Arabidopsis thaliana: one gene and its partners. The protein of the gene in region 3 interacts with the protein of the main gene of each other region in a pairwise test. Each region holds a gene or a part of one and is shown on either strand. Other genes may lie near its edges. The genes, in order: LUL1, AT5G61630 and PIP2B.

Region 1 (6,607 bases), on a different chromosome or scaffold from region 3:
TATTGTGGCGGTAGAATTTTAACATTGTGGTTAGCTTCACCATTAAATCTGTTAAAAGCGCTTCCTCACTCACTCTTCTTCCCCAAAAAAAAAACAAGACAGAGGAAGAGAATCACGAAACCATAGTCCCAAACCCTTCGAATCTATAAGCATTTCTCAAACACAATCAAGAAACTGTGTTTAGCTTTTAGATTTCTACAAGCATGTAAGACGAGATTTTGTTTCTTTTTTTTCTGCATGGTGGATCGAACGGTGAGAATGGGGACGGAGGTGAAGTCGATTAGGGTTCCAAGAAGGGTCTGGTTTGGATCACAAATATCTATAGTTCTCCTCGTGGGTGGAAACCATACCTCCTCCAGGTTTTGTACTCGCTAGATTCTTCGATTTTCTCTTTGCGATTCTTCTTTGTTCTTAAGATCTGTTTAGCAAATCGTACTAGACATTAATCATATTTTAAGATTCCATCGGAGCTGAAGTATTTGAAGAAATCAATGGGTATAAAGATCTTGAAGCTTAATATCTTCCGTGGATCTACGAATAGGCATGCTCTGTTTCGTGCTCTCATCATCGCCTCTGCTCTATCTGTTGTCCCTTTGTTGGAGTTAACCGCTAAAAATCACGTCTTTGGTGATCATGGAGCAGTGGATTTGGTCGATCTCGGCCGATTTGTTATTCCAGGACCGAAATTGTTCTTCCATAAGCTCGTTCAACCATTCTGGGGTAAAATTGAGACAGAGAAGTATCCACAAGTGGTAATTGCTGATCTCGTTGATGAGCTCATGGGGTTAAAGCTATTGCATTATGATGCTAAGATTCTCTGCATTGGTCAGGGATCGGATTCTGCTGTTTCAGGGTTCAAAGAGATGGGTTTCTCAGTTGTTCAAGGGGTTCCTAAGCATCCATTGTTTTCCTTTTTCAGTAGGAAGCATGTCAACGAGCTTGAGCTTAGTGGTGACAAGTCTTTTGATTTCGTGCTCTGTGGGGATGTTGATCATGTTGCTTCCCCTGCTCTTCTTGTGCTTGAGATGGAGCGGGTTCTGAAGCCTGGTGGAACCGGAGCAGTCCTTGTGAGTACTAATGCCAATCGTCTTGTCAAATCCGTGACTTCGGGGCTTAAGCAGTCTGAGATAGTGCGTGTGAACAACTTGGATAAGTTCACCGTCATTGTATTCAAGAGGAATGTAACGGAGACTGCTTATTGTATTGGAAAGTCTCAGCTACCAAGAGATTGCAAATCTGTTGACACCAATAGACCTTACACAGAGTTCATGGAACCTCTACTGGAGCAAAAGCCTGCTGATTTCCCAAAATCAGTAGCTTACTTACCTAAATTCCTTGATCTCTCTCTGAAAAAGAGCCTTGTCTACATTGACATTGGAGCAGCCGAGCACATGGATGCTAATTTAACTCCAAACTGGTTCTTTCCGTTATACCCACTCGACAGCAAAGCATTCAATGTCTACTTTGTCGACCACAACACTTCAGTAATGCTATCCTATGTCAAGAAACCCGGCGTCACCTTTGTTTACCATCCGGATTTGGCTGAGAACAACTCGACAGGGAAAAAGATAACTCCGCTTGAACAGCTAGAACCATTTCCAGAAGATGAGAGATTCGATTTCCTTGCTTGGTTTGAGGAAACTGCGAAATACGCAGACTTTGTAGTCCTTAAGATGAACACAAACCAAGTGGAAATGAAGTTCCTAACTGTTTTACTGGAAACAGGAGTCATATGCTACGTGGATGAGCTTTTCCTCCGCTGTTCCAACCACAAGTCAGACTGCATCAACATGCTTCAAACTCTGAGAGCCAGAGGTGTGTTTGTTCATCAATGGTGGGAAGACTAAACCAATGTAAAACTCAATCTCGCTTCGCCTTAGTCTTATCTACGTCGATTCGTGTCTGTCTTTGTCTCAGTTGTAATGCCATCACCTTCTGTGTTTGCCATAGTTGGTCCTCGGCCACCACAGCTCCTGGCCAAGCACCTATAACTAAATAAGAAGCTGCCTATCTGTTTATCATTGCTATTTAAGAACTCAGTTTCCACTTATAATATATTGAACCATAACGTTTTACGTCTTAATTAAGCATGGCATATATTACACAAGTCGATTGCTTAACTAAATTTGTTCATTCTCCATCTCCATTTCATCCGTTCTTGTTAATCTCCAAAAGCATCTCAACAGGTTGTCTGCAAACTGGGCACAGATTTGTCTGAAACCTTAACGCCTTTGCGCACCCGCTACACATACACTGCCAAACAGAAATACACAAACCATTTCAAAAGAAGTTCAATTTTTTTTTTATATGAGCTAATTTTAAGTATGATGAACACTATACCATGTGTCTGCAAGGAAGAACAGTTGTATCGCGTGGTTCAGACAAGCATACAACACATTCCTTTCCCTCATCGGAACCATCAACCGTGTTCTCAATCCCATAAATCTCAAGCAGCTCATACCTCCTCTTATTCACCCATAGTATCTGCTTCACCACTTCTATTTTAATCTCTCCTTTCTCCTTGGTATACACCACTTGAGTAATCTGCACATTGGTGGAACCAGACTTTCCTTCTTCCGCTGGAGTTGCCTCCGCCTTAACCGCCAACGGGAAGACATCTGTATCCACCTCCTTGAATAGCTCGGAATCTTTAAACGCCGTCAAGTCTATACCCGTTCCAGATGATTGTATGAACTTCTGACCAAGTCCTTCTCCGAAATCAAAAGTGATTGGAGGCAAAGTATCTTCCTTTGTAGCTCTAAGATTACATTCTGCATCTTCTGTAGCAAAGAAAACAACTGTGATCCTGTTCTCGCCAACCAAAACAACAAAAGCTAAGTCATTTATATTACTCCATTGATTGATTCAAACAAGATTCAAACTTTTAACTAAATTTGATCATTTCATAGTTTGAAAGTAAAACCTTCCGGGCATGGATGCATCAAATGTGAAGGAGACAAGAAGTCGATTCGGATTCTCCGGGTCGGGTATGAGCGTTAAAGTCTTCTTCTTCAGATTAACATCGTTACGAATCGTGACGGCTTTCTGGTGGACGTACGTAGGAGGCGGCAGTATAGGGTATCTACCGCCGTGAAACAAAGGATGAGGTAGTTGGTAACTGTTGGGAGGATAGTGATGCAAATGGTTGAAATTGTACGGTAGCATCGGCGGCTCAGTTACTGGCGGAGGAAGGCAGTTACCTGGATACTGGTCAACGTAGTTAGGGTTAGGGTTCAGATATGGTGGCACGGCGGCGAATACAAATCTGTTCGGTGGGAGTTCAAGAGGAGCCGTTTCCATCGCCGGAGGAATATTGCTCCTCTGCCTTCTCCCGCAGCAGAAGATCAAACTGATCAGATTCCCCATGATCGGAAAAAGAAAAAAGGTGAGGTTTTTCGGTGATTCAGTTGATAAGGAGTAGAATCGAAGTAGGTTTTATGATCATTGAGAAAGGGGAGTAATGAGATTGGAGATAGCGACGTCGACGAAGAAACACCAAAACGTTTATTTGTATATATTATAAATTAGTATTAAACTTGATTAATTACCATGGGAAATTGATTATTACTTTTAATCACATAAAACAAAGAAATCATTATCAGTAGCACTAGGCAGGCAATAGGCCCAAGGCCTCACAACAATATCACGGTTACAAAATAAGAAGAAACGAAATGACAAAACCGGAGACACGAGATTGGTTTTGGAGGTTGATCGGAAAACAAAGAAACACATCCATTAATACCGGCGATTACAAGAAGCACTGCTCGTCATTAAGAAACATCTTGCACTGATCGTCATTAAGAAACATCTTCTCTTATGTCTGATTATATAGGAGATCATAATAACGTCGATAAAAAAGAGTTTAAAGTGGAAATCAACCAAGAAATAGAAAGCACTATCAAGATATATTTCAAAATGAATATTTCATTAAAATGGATTAAAAAATAATTAAACACTCGAGTTTTGATCTTGTCTTGTTAAAATTTTACTCATCGTGTTCCTCATAAATTGTCCCCAGCGAAGGCGAAGCTGAAACCCTCATCGGATAAACAAGAATCGCCGGTACAGTTTCGAATGGTCCGATCATCCTAGCCATGATTTGTAAATATACTCTTTCTTCGATTTAGACTTCGGCAGCTTTCGACTGTGTTGAGAAGATCTATGTGGAAATTATTGTTATTGCTGATATTTATAGAGATAGAGAGGAATAGTAGTAGTGTAATTAACTAATCATCAAGTGATCTTTATATATTTGTATACTTTTTTATAGGACGCAGCTTAATACTTATCGCACGTGATATTTATGTTTCATATTTAGGTGATGCTCGAAAGTTGAAACATAAGTATGCGTACACTGCTTTAGTTTGCAGATAAATCATACATGTCTTTATTAAAAATTAATGTAAATTAGATTCTTTTGGTTGAGAAAATGATCGCACCAAACAGAAATAGCGGTGAGACTGGTTTCAGGTTTAAGTTTGGTTTGATATTTGAAGATACTGATTTTTTGTCGTGGACCGGTTATCGTCCCGGTTCGGTTAGAAAGTATATTAAGATTTGTCTTTAATTACCAACTCGTGAGCATATAACAACAGATCACCGAGCGTACAAGATGTGAAAGTTGAATGAAAATTTCACAAAGAACTGAGATTTGATTGTACAAAAGATACAATACAAAATCTCATCTTATACAGTTATAGAAAAAACAACAACAACAACAAGAGTCTATCTTAAACCCAAGACCGAGTAACAAAATGATCATTACAATTTACACGTCCTCGTTTTCTTGTTCTTGATTGTCTTCTTCGGTCTCTCCGCCTTCTAAAATCGTCTCAAGAATCGGAGAAACCGATGGCTTCGCCGGAGAAATGATTTGTGGAGGAACAGCCTCCATCCACCACGCCACATCCACCACCACCGTCAGATTCTGATCGCACCGATTATCAAAGAAACACATATTCGCTTCACTAGATATTATTTTAGATTTGCGGAAGTAATTCAAATTGTTACTTTTTGAGTTGAATTGATACGTGTTCATTTGTTCGTATTTATAGAGAGATTGACGCGTGGAGATATGTGGAACAATGATGGGTTTGACGTAAGAGTCGGACAAGTGGACGATCCACAATGTTTAAGTTAGTTTGTTGACTTGGTCTTATTTGCTAATAATAATGAAACCAACACGAATATTCTAGAACCTCTTGTTGTCGTCATTATCAACAAGTCTCGAATGTGCAACACGTGTGAGCTCTTGTCTCACACGTCTATATCTCCGCTAAGATTTTTTTTTGTTGTTGTCAATGTTAGGATATTTCTTTATGCGTCGTATATTGCAAAATACTAGACACACACTTAGGGTTTGAAGTTTCTCAGCAATTGTGTGGGTACGCTTTGGACAAATACACTACTCTACAAATTAGTTTAGACCGCGTTTGACTCGGTAACGTTAGAAGCAGATTAGACACTAATTAGGCCCAAGTTAAACTATCATGGGCTCATTCGTAAACTTAGTTCTAATGGGCTCTCAACATCAGATCTTAATATTTATAGAGAGCATGAGGTCAAATGCGTAGTTCCGTATATGAGAATTATGAAACTGAACCCATAAGCATTTTAATCACGCTGAGGAAAGTAGCCACTTCTCGTTTAACTAATACGGTAATACCTCATTCTGCCTGTTTTATTGATTTGTTTGGATATTTTGGTGCAATTCGATTAAAAATGTACCTAGAAAACAAAATTAAAATTGAGAAAATAAAAAACGTACCAATTGATAGAAAAAAAGATTATTGTACGCTGAAAAAGTAGAAAGAACTAGATAATTTTTAGTGATGACAAAAACGAAAATCTTCTTTGTGAACTTAAATCGCTGGAAAACATGCCATATGCAGAGTTAATCAAAACATTATTAGCAATCAATTGATATATGTATATATAAATATAAGATGCCTTAGCTTTTTCTTATATATATAATTAGGTTAATTAGAAAATAAGTCAATGGCCTGAAAAGGATTGGATAAGATAAGGATATTTGAAAGGTTGCTTTCATTCTTCTTGCAATTTCCCCCTTATTTTAGTTTTCTTAGCTTATAGAATTCATCCCTCATTTTCCGTCATTTGATATTATAACATAAGATGCATGAGGACGACAAAAATAGAAATAATAAGTGAATAGGTAGGTATACCATGTACTTGTCACTAGACGATTCGATATTTTACATAGAGATTAATCTATTTCTAGGGAATTATTGGCACCTTATGATCGAACATGTCACCTAAAAAAAGTGAGCTTATCACATCGCATAAGTTTTGCAAAAATATTCTTAAACTAATTTTTTAATGTATGTCAGAATAATGTTTCATCAATCGAGAATATGGATTAGAGATATAATTCACTAGCAAAATTTTACAAACGGATTCTTTTTTCTTTTTTTTTTGATAACCGAAATTGATATATGCTTGTATAGGGTGGTCGAAGCTAAGGTCTACCATAGTTAATTGCTAATTTAATTATTATTAGTTGTAAAACACACAAGATGACATCATTATTTGATCTAACACAATAAAAATAGAATTAGGCAAATGAAAATCGGTTTAGTAAACGACA
Region 2 (6,479 bases), on a different chromosome or scaffold from region 3:
TACTCAAGATTAGTTTTGAATTAACAATCTAGTGATTATGATCATCGCATGGTTAAGCCATTGGCCTGAGAATTTATTATTAATTAAACCGACTTCTGGTGATATTAACTAACTTAGCTTCTAAAACATGGAAAATTATAGAAATTTACAAGAGAAGAAAAAAGCGGGAAAACCCAATGGAAATATAGGCAATTTATAGAGTTTTAGGGTGAATTTGTTTTAGCGTACTAAACTTTCTTTTTTTAAGGACTAAGGAGACTTCTGATTTCTGAATCCATCAAAAGGTATAAATTTTCTATCAAAAATGATTGTAGCTTGCAGGAGAAAAAAAACTCTTAAGCTTGAGTTTTAAACATTGGGAGGATATGATTAATTTGTTGTGTTTGAGAAAGAATATACAATAATAGTAACTTAAGATTTGGTTTTTCCTTGGGGTTAAGTTGGTTTACCTGCCAAACTAGCCCTTAAGTTTTCATCACATTCGTATTTCTCTTAAGCTTTACAAGAATTTCTATTAGTCTGAATATAAATATAGATGTCAGGATATCTTAACATTTCGCACCAAAAAAAAAGATATCTTAACAAAGTACTGAAGAAAATATATAGTATAATAATTGAAGTGAAATCATACAATTGAGTTAGAAACTAGCTAGCAAAAATTACTTTAAATTATTGCAATTAGTAATTGTTTTATTTTAGATGTTTCATGAAACATATTTTTTCTTTTTCCACGAAATTTCTTTTAGTTGACGTTCGTGAATCATCACTTTATTTGGAACAAGATAATAGTATTTTTTGCTTGAAGTCTTAACATGCAGTTTATTAAATTCGCCAAAAAACACCTACCATTATAAAACTTTATCGTATATTAATAGAATTGTCCATAGTTAGCATTTAATTAACTTTATGTTCGACGAATGGGACGAAACCGATGAACTCTCAATCATAAGTTAGCATTTAATTAACGAAAATGCGACTGAGAGAAAGCCACGTAAGAGAGTTGCGAGGCTGAACTTAAAATTCGTGCTATTCACGTTAGAGAGATAATGAACAACACGTTGTCAACATTCTATTTAAGCAGATTTTTGTTATCACAAGATCTCTCTCGCTTCTGTCTTTTTCACTTGCTTGACTTCCCCTTCCATTATCTTTTCTTCTGTACTTTGTATGAACGGTGCTTATTTTACTTACCTTATTCATATTAGTTGAGACCACATTAATTTAAAACCCAAAAAGAAAAACATACAATTCCAAAATTTGGAGTATAATCTCCTCGTCCAATAGTTGGCTGATAGCTTAAAAGGTTATCCACCCTAACGCAATGTTCAAAATTTTGCCTATTTCCGTTTTGATTTGTTTGGATGAAGAATGTTTTCTATCATTTTTAATTTGATTTTCCAAATTAGAGTTCACTTTGGTTTGGATCAATTTAACCCTTTAAGTTAGAGCCTAGTACACTAACTAAAACTGATGCTGAGTAAAAGACACTAAAAAATCATTTTACGTTTTACTCAAACTAGTTTTGATGAATCTTACAAGAACAAATTCAATCGAGAACATCCAAACAATACTATATACCTAAAGGATTGAACACTTAAAAAGTTTTATGAACAAGAACAAGTTACATAAGTAGCCTCGGCTTCTTTATTTTTCAACGATAATTGCTATAATCTATCATAGATAAGTGGAAGCATCCTCTGCTTTCGGTTAGAAGCAAGGCTTTTACCCGTAGCAGCGGATTGGGTCGTTGCAGCCTTTTTCCGTTGATTGCTTAAGACCAAACCTCCCTCCTTTAGACAAGTATTGCTGGTGATGTTCCTCAGCTCTATAAAATTTCTTAGCCGGTAAGATCTCTGTCACAACCTTCCTGTCAACTTGTTGCTGGTGCCGCTCCAGTGACTCGCGTGCTAGTTTCTCTTGCTCCGGGTTGTAGAAATATATCCCTGAACGGTATTGGGTTCCCACATCATTTCCCTGATCAGATAAGGATGTACTCATTAAAACAGAGAAACAAATTCGAACATAATGCACGACAAGCAGATAAACTACCAAATAAATAGTGATTCTGCATAAGAGCTGGTTAAGTGCTCTCTAAGAAACTACCAAAATACACATAAGGATGGTTCAGTGACCAAAGATGACAAGAACGATAGCCAAATTCACATCCTTATCAAAGAGAAGATGTATGAGTCTCTCTGTTCAGTTTCAAACATAAAACCTAAATTTTGTACCAACAGAACATGAAATGAATCCAAAGTATTACATCATCCAAACCCTAGATTTCAATCTATTTAGAGCTCAATATTTCAAGCAAGCCCTAGAAACCCTAGAAATCTTCCTCAATCACCAAAATCAAAACTTAAAACTCACAAAATCAGACATTCTAAAGAGCAAAACTTTCGTTACCTGCCGATTCAAAGTGGTGGGATCATGCTTAGACCAGAACAAATCAAGCAGCGACTGGTAACTACACTCTTTTGGATCATATTGAACACGAACAATCTCGGCATGATTCGTGGTACCTGAACAAACATCTTTGTAAGAAGGATCGTGAGTGATCCCTTGAGAATAACCAACCTCTGTTTGAGTCACTCCTGGAACTCTCTGGTACGCTAATTCCACGCTCCAGAAACAACCGGCGCCGAATTGAGTAAACTGGTTTCCCGGCGCCGGAGCTTCGTCGTCGATTACTTGTGCGATTGGAGAAGGATCCATGTTGGTTTGTCTACTTGATCCTATACCTAGCTTGTTAAGTATGTTCATGGAGAAATTTTGTAGAGAGAGCGAAACAGAGAAACAGAGGAAAGTGGTGAAGAGGAAACGTCGGCTGATTCTGCGGAACATTTTGTACCAAATTCTGACAGGTATAAAATTCGCGTTTGCGTTTACGTTTTGAATAACGATAAAAATAATTTTAGAAACCAGTTTTGGTTGACATTTCATTCAAGCAGTTCAAATTGACAATCTTTAAAATCTTTTTTTTTTTTTTTTTTTTAATCTTTAAAATCTTAAAACTAAGATTAGTTAGTTTCAAGCATGATCAAATCATATGTTTATAAAATGTCACAGAAATAGAAGAAGAAAACAAAGAATCTAAAGAAATGGTTGTTTTTGTCACTCTCAAATGGAAAAATGAGTGATTAGATTGAACGATTTGACAAAGTCCTTATTTCGATCCAAATGTACCAAAACCATAGGCTCTAAATTCGCAATTCAATCCGGATTCTTTTTTCTTCTAAGAAATAAAAAACTGTGACTAAAATGTAACAAAGAAACTGATTAAGCTCAAAAACCATCAACATCCTAAAAACGTAATTTCTATAGAGTTTTTGGAACACACCTATCAAAACCAAAAATACTTATCAAAATGTATAGATCCGCGAGCTGGAACCGAGTGCCAGAAGACTACTCATCCGCACCGCCTAAGGGATTGTGGATGGGCTCGGTGATCGGTCCCCTCGACGAGAACGAACTACCTTCCTACAATAATCCACCAGAGGAGATGGTTAAGAAGGAGAAGTCACGTGCCAAATTCGCAGAAAACGCCATTCACATCATACCATTTGTTCTCCTTGCATGCGCTCTCGTACTTTGGCTCTTCTCAAATCCAGGTATATACAATTAGTGAGCCAAAAACATGCTTGTGTTTGATCAAACCATGCCCGGTTTTAAAGTGAAAGAAAAAACATGCATGTTGTTAACCACGAACTCATCCGCAATAATCCAACATGATCAAATTGGATTGCAAATGGTAGAGAGATCATGTCTGCATTTGGCGGTTGTGAAGTTGGGAAATATTTTATGTAACTGTTACATGTTGATACTTTATTCTTTGTGGCACTTATAACATCGATCCAAATTTTGAAGATGTGGATGTTGGGATGAGAGAAGAATCTATTGCGGCTAAGATTGAAGGATTGACGATCGAAGGAGACATCGACAATGATAGCGATGGAACTCAGACCGGTTTCTTGGGTGCCACCTTAGAACTCGGAGATCCTGACAAACCAAACCTCACTGATAGAACCAGACGAGCTTCTAGGAAATTGATCAAAGGATTTTACTAGTTAATCAACACCATTTTTTTAATTTTCTCCCAATGAATGTTGATTTTACTCAATAAACTTCACCAAAACTAAGATTTTTTTTGTTTTGTTTTTGGTTGATAAAGAAGCAGCTAAATATAAATCCAAATATATCTATATTCTTATTTAATCTAATCTGGGAAGAAATAAAAATGATACATAATCCGATTGGCAAAACTTTTGAATATGGAGCTATATATTCAAATAAAACTCAACACCAAAAAAAAGAAGCAATATACCTATATCATGCTTAAATAAACACACAAAAAATGAGATTTCATTTCACATGAATAACGCCATGACCAGTCAAGTCAGAAGCTCCAGTAGCTTGTGGAGGCAAACCGATATGAAGATCCAAACCGTCTTTATTTGTCATATTAGAAGCTTCACTCGGTTGAGACAGAGGCAAACCAATCGGTATATGTCTTGGAACAGGTATACCAGAAGGATGAACAAACCTAACCGGTACTTGAGGGTTGGCATAGTACATTGGATAATTTGGATGGTACATAATAGGTGGAAAGTTGTAGTAAGGTGGTATGGGTTGGTAGATTGGCATATACTCCATTGATAAATTCTGAAACCTGTTCGAAATCTCGGTTTGAGTATGACCTTGTACTACCGGTTGTTGAATTCCGGTTATTGGTTGTTTAGGTGGAGTCTTTGTTGAAGCATCTTGAGAGTTCCTCTCTTTCTCCTTCTGTTTAATGAAAAAACAATTAAACCCTAAATTAAAAAATAGCCCTAGACAAATCAATTGACTCAATGGATTACTTGAGAAACAAGGTAAATAAGTACCTGATCTTCGAGAGAGATGTCAAAGAGACTAGCACGTCTTTTTCTCTTGTCGTTAACGTTTAACCTAATAAAATATTTCTGAGCATGACTTGCGACTTGTGTTGGTGTTCTTGTCGACACGAAACTCTTTGCAATGCCTCTCCAATCTCCTTTTCCGAGTTTGTTTAAACCGATTAAGAAATTACGATGTTCTTCTTCCGTCCATGGCTTCCCTGAATTTGATTTATTCTTATTAATTTCATTGAATTTAGATTATCAAATTGATGAGATTAGAAGATTACGTACCCTTTTTCTTCTCATGAGCAGTTTTACCCTTCTTGGAATGAATCTGACCATCGGAATGATAACCGGTATCATCAACGGCGGCGATAGGATCACCGCTACCGTTACTTTCATCGTTAGCGAGAAGAGCATCAAGGTTTCCCAAACTAAGACTCTTCCTTAACGCCGTTACCTCAGGCGGCCTAATCGGATCAGACGATATATTAACGCCGAACAGTTTAACACTTGCCTTATTAACGCCGTTGAGACAAGTCCGTGCGTTATGGCCATTATGGCCACAGTGTGAGCACGTTTTCGCCACCGTCACCGTCTCCTTCACCATCTCTCTCTCGCCACCAATGTTTTCGGTATCACAAGAATTAGAATCACAAGATCTCGCTAATTGTATTTATACCTTAAACTCTCTTGTGTAATGATATATATATATATATATATATATATATATATGCGGATATGCGTGAGCTGTTATTTGTGAATGTCCTTGGTGTTTTTACATTTTTTTATTTTCCTTAAGAGATAAAGCGTTTCCTTAATTATCTTGTTTTATTTGGAAGTTTTTACCCAAGTCATTATAAGGAAAAATCCAGCAGAATCAGCGTAGGATCATAATCGACGGTTAACATTTTCTTAAGATAGGATTCGTGGAAAATCAGCCGTTAGATTGTTTTCCAGGTAAACATGTACTGGATATTGATCCCGGATATTTAGGAGAGATATTAAATCGTATATTCGATTTTATTTTTTTATTTTCTTTCCTAAGTTACCCATATTTTTATCAATATCAATCCTAATCTTAATATAACTGGAATTTACTTACTTTTATCTTCATCCATATTAGTTAATATCTCATATTTCCTAAGTTACCCATATTTCTATTTCTTCCAAAGTTTTTACATATATATACTCCTATATATATTTGCGATAAATTCAGAGTATAATTTTTTTAAATAACTTTGTGATATAATTCGATCCAATCTAAACGCGTTGAGATCTAATTGGATACTTGGAAATTTAGATCAATATAGGAACAAAGTCCTCGTTTCCTTATTTAGGGAAACCTTTTTTGTTTATTTGTTTATTGCAGTCAGTGTGTGACACATACAAAATCTACGGTGGTAAAAAATATGATTAGTTTGATCAAAAATTAAAATCTAGTAGGTTCTGAGTTTTAGATTTTTATTTAATCTCGACTAAGATTCCGATTGCAATTTTTATATATTAAAATAAAATAAAAAAACATGGTAATCTGACAAATTGAGAGATTCCACCTGTTTAATGTGTTTTTTCATAACTGAAATTTACGCTTTCTAAAGT
Region 3 (6,607 bases):
TACATAATTGTAGGCACACTTTTTTTCTTTCGTGGCTAAGTTTAAACGTTGGCTGCACTTCTGAATGAACCGAGGGACTTGGAGCCTGAGGCCCTTAGAACGAATTGGTGATAAAATGCAGCTATCGTAGCTCCAATGAATGGTCCCACCCAGAATATCCACTGTAATTATGTAAGACCAAAAACACTTTAGTATTTTTCCTCCGTCCATAATTTGATTAATTTTAAATAATTAAGAAATAGAAACGTACGTGGTCATCCCATGGCTTGCTCTTGTTAAAGATTACGGCGGCTCCGAAACTCCTAGCCGGGTTGATACCGGTTCCGGTGATCGGAATAGTGGCCAAATGTACCATAAACACCGCAAACCCAATCGGAAGTGGCGCCAAAACCTTTCGTTTCATAATTCATAACCCAAAGTATTAGTTAATGATATCATGTAATTAACTAACGATCTTATAACTGATAAAAATAAATACTAACCGGAACGTGGGAGTCTCTAGCGTTGCGTTTGGGATCAGTAGCGGAGAAGACTGTGTAGACAAGCACGAATGTTCCGATGATCTCTGCCGCGAGTCCGGTGCCTGTATTGTAGCCGTCAGCTAGAAAGTTGGCTCCTCCACCGTAATTAACATAGTGAGAGCTTTGAAATGCCTTCACAAACCCAACTCCACAAATAGCACCCAAACACTGAGCCACCATGTAAAGCACCGCCCTAATCAGCGATACCTTCCGGGCTAAGAACAAACCAAACGTCACCGCAGGGTTTATGTGACCACCTACAAAGTTCTTGGGGTTAATTTCAAATAAATTACAAAACAAAGGACAAATTTGAAAGGTCCACAAATGTTAAATTTTCTGAACCGGGTAATAAACCGGACCGGTTTCGATATATGATACCTGAGATACCGGCGGTGCAGTAGACAAGGATGAAGATCATGCCACCAAAAGCCCACGCGATGCCAAGGATTCCGACGCCGCCGCAGTCAACTCCACCGGCTTTTGTGTCGGACTGAATCTTGTAACCAATGACAGTTAAAACGGTGACGTACAAGAAGAGGAGAGTGGCTACGAACTCGGCGATGACTGCTCTGTATAAAGACCACTTGGTAAGCTCCTCTGCGTCGAAAAACGGTGTTGGCGGAGGATCTTCGTAATCTCTCGTCTGAAATCCATCAGGTCCTTCCACGTCTTTAGCCATATGTGTTAATGGATGTTTCTGGACTTTCTAAGTAAGTGTTTTGCTTTGTGGTTGTTGTAGGGCTTGTGGTTGTGAGATGAAGAATAAAGGTTCTTTATATAGAGTGAGCTCTTGGTTTGTGCTACTGTTGATTTTGACACTTTTGATTTAATGTCACAACTTACAACATTGATGTTTTGTTTTATGGTATTTTTTTTTGTAACGAATGCATAAGTTGGTTTAGTGGTAATTTTTTTTTTTTGCTAAAGAAGTTGGTCAGTGGTAACTAAAGGAAATCTAAAACAAGTATTAATTTTTTTTTTATCTCAGTAACTTGATAATCTAAATCAGTGAGAACCAATACAAAAAATCTCCTAAAGATATAATTTAACATTTCCTGAAAAGTTTATACAAATAGTATAAATCTCATACTGTAATTCATTTCCAAATAACTAGATTGTTAAATGCTACTGATAGATCACCGTCCCAAGAGTCACGTCATTAAATTTTGTTAGGCATCACCCAAAAAATTTGACCGTTGACAAAAAACCAAAAACCGATAAAACGTGAGCAATTATATAAGTGAACATATTTGACAATGATGATCATATATACTTGTGTGTTAACATACATACCTTATCTTTTAGCTGTATCCACATTGCATATACTGTAGGTGCTTTTTAAGTTTTTGATAAATAATGATTTTATATGATTAGTAAAGTATTTGTCTCGATCGTGTCACACGATTCTTTTGTTTTTCTGCCGTTTCAAGCACATTCTGGATCATTCGTGCATCTTTTTCATGATAGTTGGTAAACATATAGTATATATAGTAAGCGAATATTTGTATAGGAAAATGAAATGGTATTTTAGGTCATTTTGTATAATAAGTTAAATAACGCATAAATACGTAATTTATTTGAGACTTAACTTTTTCGGTGTAAGCTGAGTGTTAAATCTGTCATAGGACACTACAATCAAATTATAACTCTATATATACTCCATCGACTATATATTGACTCAACATATCATGATAGAATTACATATGAGTCAGATGTAATTTTATGATCTGTTATTGTGGATTCATTGTTAGCAAGCATATATATACGTGTGTTCAGAAGACTAAAAAATTTACTATGAAATGAAAGAACATTTATTTGTTTGGAACAAAAAATGTTTATCATAACAAATTAACCCATTTTTCCACAGAGAACAATACCATTCGTAACCAATATCGAGTAGACAATTCTTTAACAAAACAGAAAGCGACAAAGATGAAAGAAAACAAAAATAAAACCAGGGGAGAGACCGAGAGAGAGAGAGCACCTTTCTGACGTGGAAATATAATCCAATAAGAGCAGAGAAATGTCGCTACAACGATAAGGATATTGTGACGTGGCAAAACATTGGCCATGAACACCACATTACACCACATTCCTTTTGTCTATGTACACTTTTTATTTTTCCAATTTATTTTTGTAGACAGACTAGTGATTAGTGAATACTGAATAATATACGTAAGAAAATTGCAATTGGAAATTTGGAATTGAGGAGTGAGAGCAAATGATTGTTGAATATGGGGACTAAACAACGTGGCATAAGAGGAGTGGTTGGGACGGCTGAACTGGAGTTGGACTTAATCTGTATGGACGGTGCCGATGCAATTGACGGAGCTAATCAATTCTATATGGGGCGGTTTCTCCGGTCCAGTGGACCCAACTTTCATCATATTTTCTACTTTAGTGGAAACATAACCCGTGAAGCGACGCCGTTTCTTTTATCATGTCCATGTGATAAATTATGTTTTTGTTATATGGTAGGGTTAGCTGAGAGCTATCAAAAGACTCTTTTTTATCCACCTAATAGATTTGATTTGTAACGTTAAGAGCATAGGAAGTCAATTTAATCGTTACTAATTACATGCATAAGAACTAGTATAACTATATAAGGAGCTCCTTCTAGAAATTAAATGAAGGATGATAGAATCTAGATAATCAGAAATTTTACTATTGATCAATCTAGCTATCTCGTAGTTCAAAAAGCTTTATCGTTAACAAGTAACAACTTTCAAGTATTGCCCAAATAGATAAGGTTCATAACTTCATATTTTTTATTTATTTTATGTGTAAAAGAGTGACAGTCTATATTATTCTAGGGGGAGGACAAGGCTCATGACATAGGACAAGAGAAAGAAAAATATAGAAGCATATAGTATATTAGGGTCGGTCCAAATGAAAACAACGTTTAGGTATGGGGCGGCGAGGCTAAGTTAAATTAACCACAAAACTCCATTATCAACCATAATTTTAGAATTAAAAGGTCTCTGTTCCTATTGATAGCTCCACAATCATTCTTTTAAATAATCAGAATCTCAAATAAGTTCATCTTTAGTTACAGATTTGTATCAATAGTTGAAGTTGAAACCAAAATAATAATAATTTAGTTATAGTTAATTTTGTCAACAAAACAATACCTTAACTATCATATTATGACAAACACTAATTGAGATGAAAAACTCTTAGCAGTAGCTAATTCTTACTATCATCAGTTAATTATACTAATGTATATGGAAATTCTGCTTAAACAAAAAAAAAACAGTGGAACATGAATATATTAAGCAAAATCAGTTTCTATTGATTATGTAGCAATGATTAGATTGGTTTAGATTATATATCATCATGACAGCTAGCTAGGTAATTAATTAGTGAAAGAAAGTTTCCACAAAAATAATCATAATCGTCATACACACAATTCTATATTCATTTCATTGAAACGAATAATAAAAACAACCATAAGCCTACCAAAAGGAAAACATTATCGTAATATAATCAATCAATAACACGTATACAATTATTAACGTATATTGACAAGCAAAATTAATGAGAGCACTCACTATAGCTATAGTCTCTCTATATAAACAACTTTCATTCGTCTCTTCAGTCTTCACAAACACAACATATCCACAATACAAAACACAACTTTCATATATAACAAAAAAAGTTATAGAAATGGCCAAAGACGTGGAAGGACCTGAGGGATTTCAGACAAGAGACTACGAAGATCCGCCACCAACTCCGTTTTTCGATGCGGACGAGCTTACCAAGTGGTCTTTATACAGAGCCGTCATTGCCGAGTTCGTAGCCACTCTCCTCTTCTTGTACATCACCGTTTTAACTGTCATCGGTTACAAGATTCAGTCCGACACAAAAGCCGGTGGAGTTGACTGCGGCGGCGTCGGAATCCTTGGCATCGCGTGGGCTTTTGGTGGCATGATCTTCATCCTTGTCTACTGCACCGCCGGTATCTCAGGTATCATATATCGAAACCGGTCCGGTTTATTACCCGGTTCAGAAAATTTAACATTTGTGGACCTTTCAAATTTGTCCTTTGTTTTGTAATTTATTTGAAATTAACCCCAAGAACTTTGTAGGTGGTCACATAAACCCTGCGGTGACGTTTGGTTTGTTCTTAGCCCGGAAGGTATCGCTGATTAGGGCGGTGCTTTACATGGTGGCTCAGTGTTTGGGTGCTATTTGTGGAGTTGGTTTCGTCAAAGCCTTTCAAAGCTCTTACTATGATCGTTACGGTGGAGGAGCCAACTCTCTAGCAGACGGCTACAACACAGGCACCGGACTAGCCGCAGAGATCATTGGAACATTCGTTCTCGTCTACACAGTCTTCTCCGCTACTGATCCCAAACGTAACGCTAGAGACTCCCACGTTCCGGTTAGTATTTATTTCTATCAGTTATAAGATCGTTCTGGTAACATACGATAACATTAATTAATACTTAGTGTTATGAATTATGAAACGAAAGGTTTTGGCGCCACTTCCGATTGGGTTTGCGGTGTTTATGGTACATTTGGCCACTATTCCGATCACCGGAACCGGCATCAACCCGGCTAGGAGTTTCGGAGCTGCCGTAATCTATAACAAGAGCAAGCCATGGGATGACCACGTACGTTTCTATTTCTTAATTATTTAAAATTAATCAAATTATGGACTATTGTTTGATGGGAAAATAATGAACTGTTTTTTTGGTCTATCTAAATACAGTGGATATTCTGGGTGGGACCATTCATTGGAGCTGCGATAGCTGCATTTTATCACCAATTTGTCCTAAGGGCTTCAGGTTCCAAGTCACTTGGATCCTTCAGAAGTGCAGCCAACGTTTGAGTTTTTGCCACACAAAAAAAAACCTATCATAATAACAACAATTACAAAATGGTTGTGTTATTATGTATGTACAAAAATTGGCAACTTTGCTTGTAAAACTATGCACTATATTTCTTCTTGTTTTTCTGTTTTCATTGTGGTGTAATACTTTGATATGTGCCAATGCCAATGTTTGTGTACTCGGGAAAACAATTAATGAAAACCAAATTGTTTTGCCTTCTCCTCCCTCTTTTTATTTTATACAGATGATATTACCAGCTAAAAGCATATCTACATAGACTACATTAATAGTTATAATTTATAAGTTCATGTGATTTAAATTATCCTCCACTGAAGAGGATTAAGACAGAACAAAAACTTATGTGTTTGGCACTTTTTTGTCAGCTTGTCGCCATCACCTAATTAAACAACAACTAAAGCACAAGTCAATTGGTAAGATCGTCTCAAATTCAATTAATCTACACCAAAAACGAATTTTGTTGAACACTTAGTTTTGAGTTGACATTCCACTCACTAGTTTAAGCTCATAGAATTTGTAACGAGAGCTTACGCAGGAAAGCTGTTGGTTCAACAACTAATTTGCGTCACTTTACTTAAAGTATACAAACGTCATTTTCAGAAATAACAATATCAAGAAGAGCGTGAACAAAATATTAAAAACCTATAGATGGTCATACAGACAAAAACTTCGAAATTTCTTTAATCCAATGTAGATTATCCAAAAAATGTGCCTCAAGACCAAAATCAGGGTTTTACATAAATCGAAACAATAATAGGAAAACTTTAAAAATTTCGTAACAGTTTTGCAACTGCAAGAAAATACACTTTTGCGTCTTCTTCCGAAGCACCAATCTTGAATTATTAGTTTTTGGTTAGCTTTTGTTGGATATAAACCCTAAAATCCAAAAGATCTGTTTTCTCTTAATTACATCTGAAAACTCTCTTTATCTCCTTTCATCTCCATCAATCCCCAGAAATGTCTCAGCCTCTCTCCCACACATCGATAGAGTCAGATTCAGTACCGAGGAGAGATATTCACAGGGTTTCCTTTCGAAACCACGACCTGAAACAATATGATTTAAATGGTGACTGAATTAACTGGAACCACCAACCTTGCTGGTCAGCGAGGGTTTGCTTGTGGTTGGATTTGTTGCTTCTGAGCTGCTGCTGGGCTGGGTGTCAGGTCGTGTCCAGATCTTTAAATGGCCTTCTCTGCAAGCTGTTATCAATGATTCTTGGGTGAAGATCAAGC

Evidence for each region.
Region 1: the proteins of PIP2B (region 3) and LUL1 interact in a protein complementation assay, tested with the Arabidopsis thaliana proteins (one large-scale study listed by BioGRID).
Region 2: the proteins of PIP2B (region 3) and AT5G61630 interact in a protein complementation assay, tested with the Arabidopsis thaliana proteins (one large-scale study listed by BioGRID).

Annotation. Positions count from the first base shown.
Region 1 is NC_003076.8:758,302-764,908, forward strand, and holds LUL1 (RING/U-box superfamily protein), read right to left. Parts: upstream 3,540-6,607; 5' UTR 3,367-3,539; coding exon 2,924-3,366; intron 2,807-2,923; coding exon 2,341-2,806; intron 2,254-2,340; coding exon 2,149-2,253; 3' UTR 2,018-2,148; downstream 1-2,017. Other genes in the region: CPUORF47 (peptide upstream protein), read left to right, coding at 238-359, 542-1,847; AT5G03204 (uncharacterized protein), read right to left, coding at 3,986-4,096; DIP2 (E3 ubiquitin-protein ligase), read right to left, coding at 4,769-5,038. UniProt on the Arabidopsis thaliana protein: Acts as an E3 ubiquitin-protein ligase, or as part of E3 complex, which accepts ubiquitin from specific E2 ubiquitin-conjugating enzymes and then transfers it to substrates (in vitro).
Region 2 is NC_003076.8:24,771,391-24,777,869, reverse strand, and holds AT5G61630 (uncharacterized protein), read left to right. Parts: upstream 1-3,291; 5' UTR 3,292-3,367; coding exon 3,368-3,611; intron 3,612-3,867; coding exon 3,868-4,067; 3' UTR 4,068-4,362; downstream 4,363-6,479. Other genes in the region: PMSR1 (peptidemethionine sulfoxide reductase 1), read right to left, coding at 1,723-1,974, 2,407-2,844; AT5G61620 (myb-like transcription factor family protein), read right to left, coding at 4,363-4,785, 4,884-5,095, 5,169-5,487.
Region 3 is NC_003071.7:15,612,372-15,618,978, reverse strand, and holds PIP2B (plasma membrane intrinsic protein 2), read left to right. Parts: upstream 1-3,956; 5' UTR 3,957-4,058; coding exon 4,059-4,488; intron 4,489-4,609; coding exon 4,610-4,905; intron 4,906-4,996; coding exon 4,997-5,137; intron 5,138-5,235; coding exon 5,236-5,355; 3' UTR 5,356-5,611; downstream 5,612-6,607. Other genes in the region: RD28 (Aquaporin-like superfamily protein), read right to left, coding at 42-161, 251-391, 483-778, 900-1,200; AT2G37160 (Transducin/WD40 repeat-like superfamily protein), read right to left, coding at 6,450-6,607.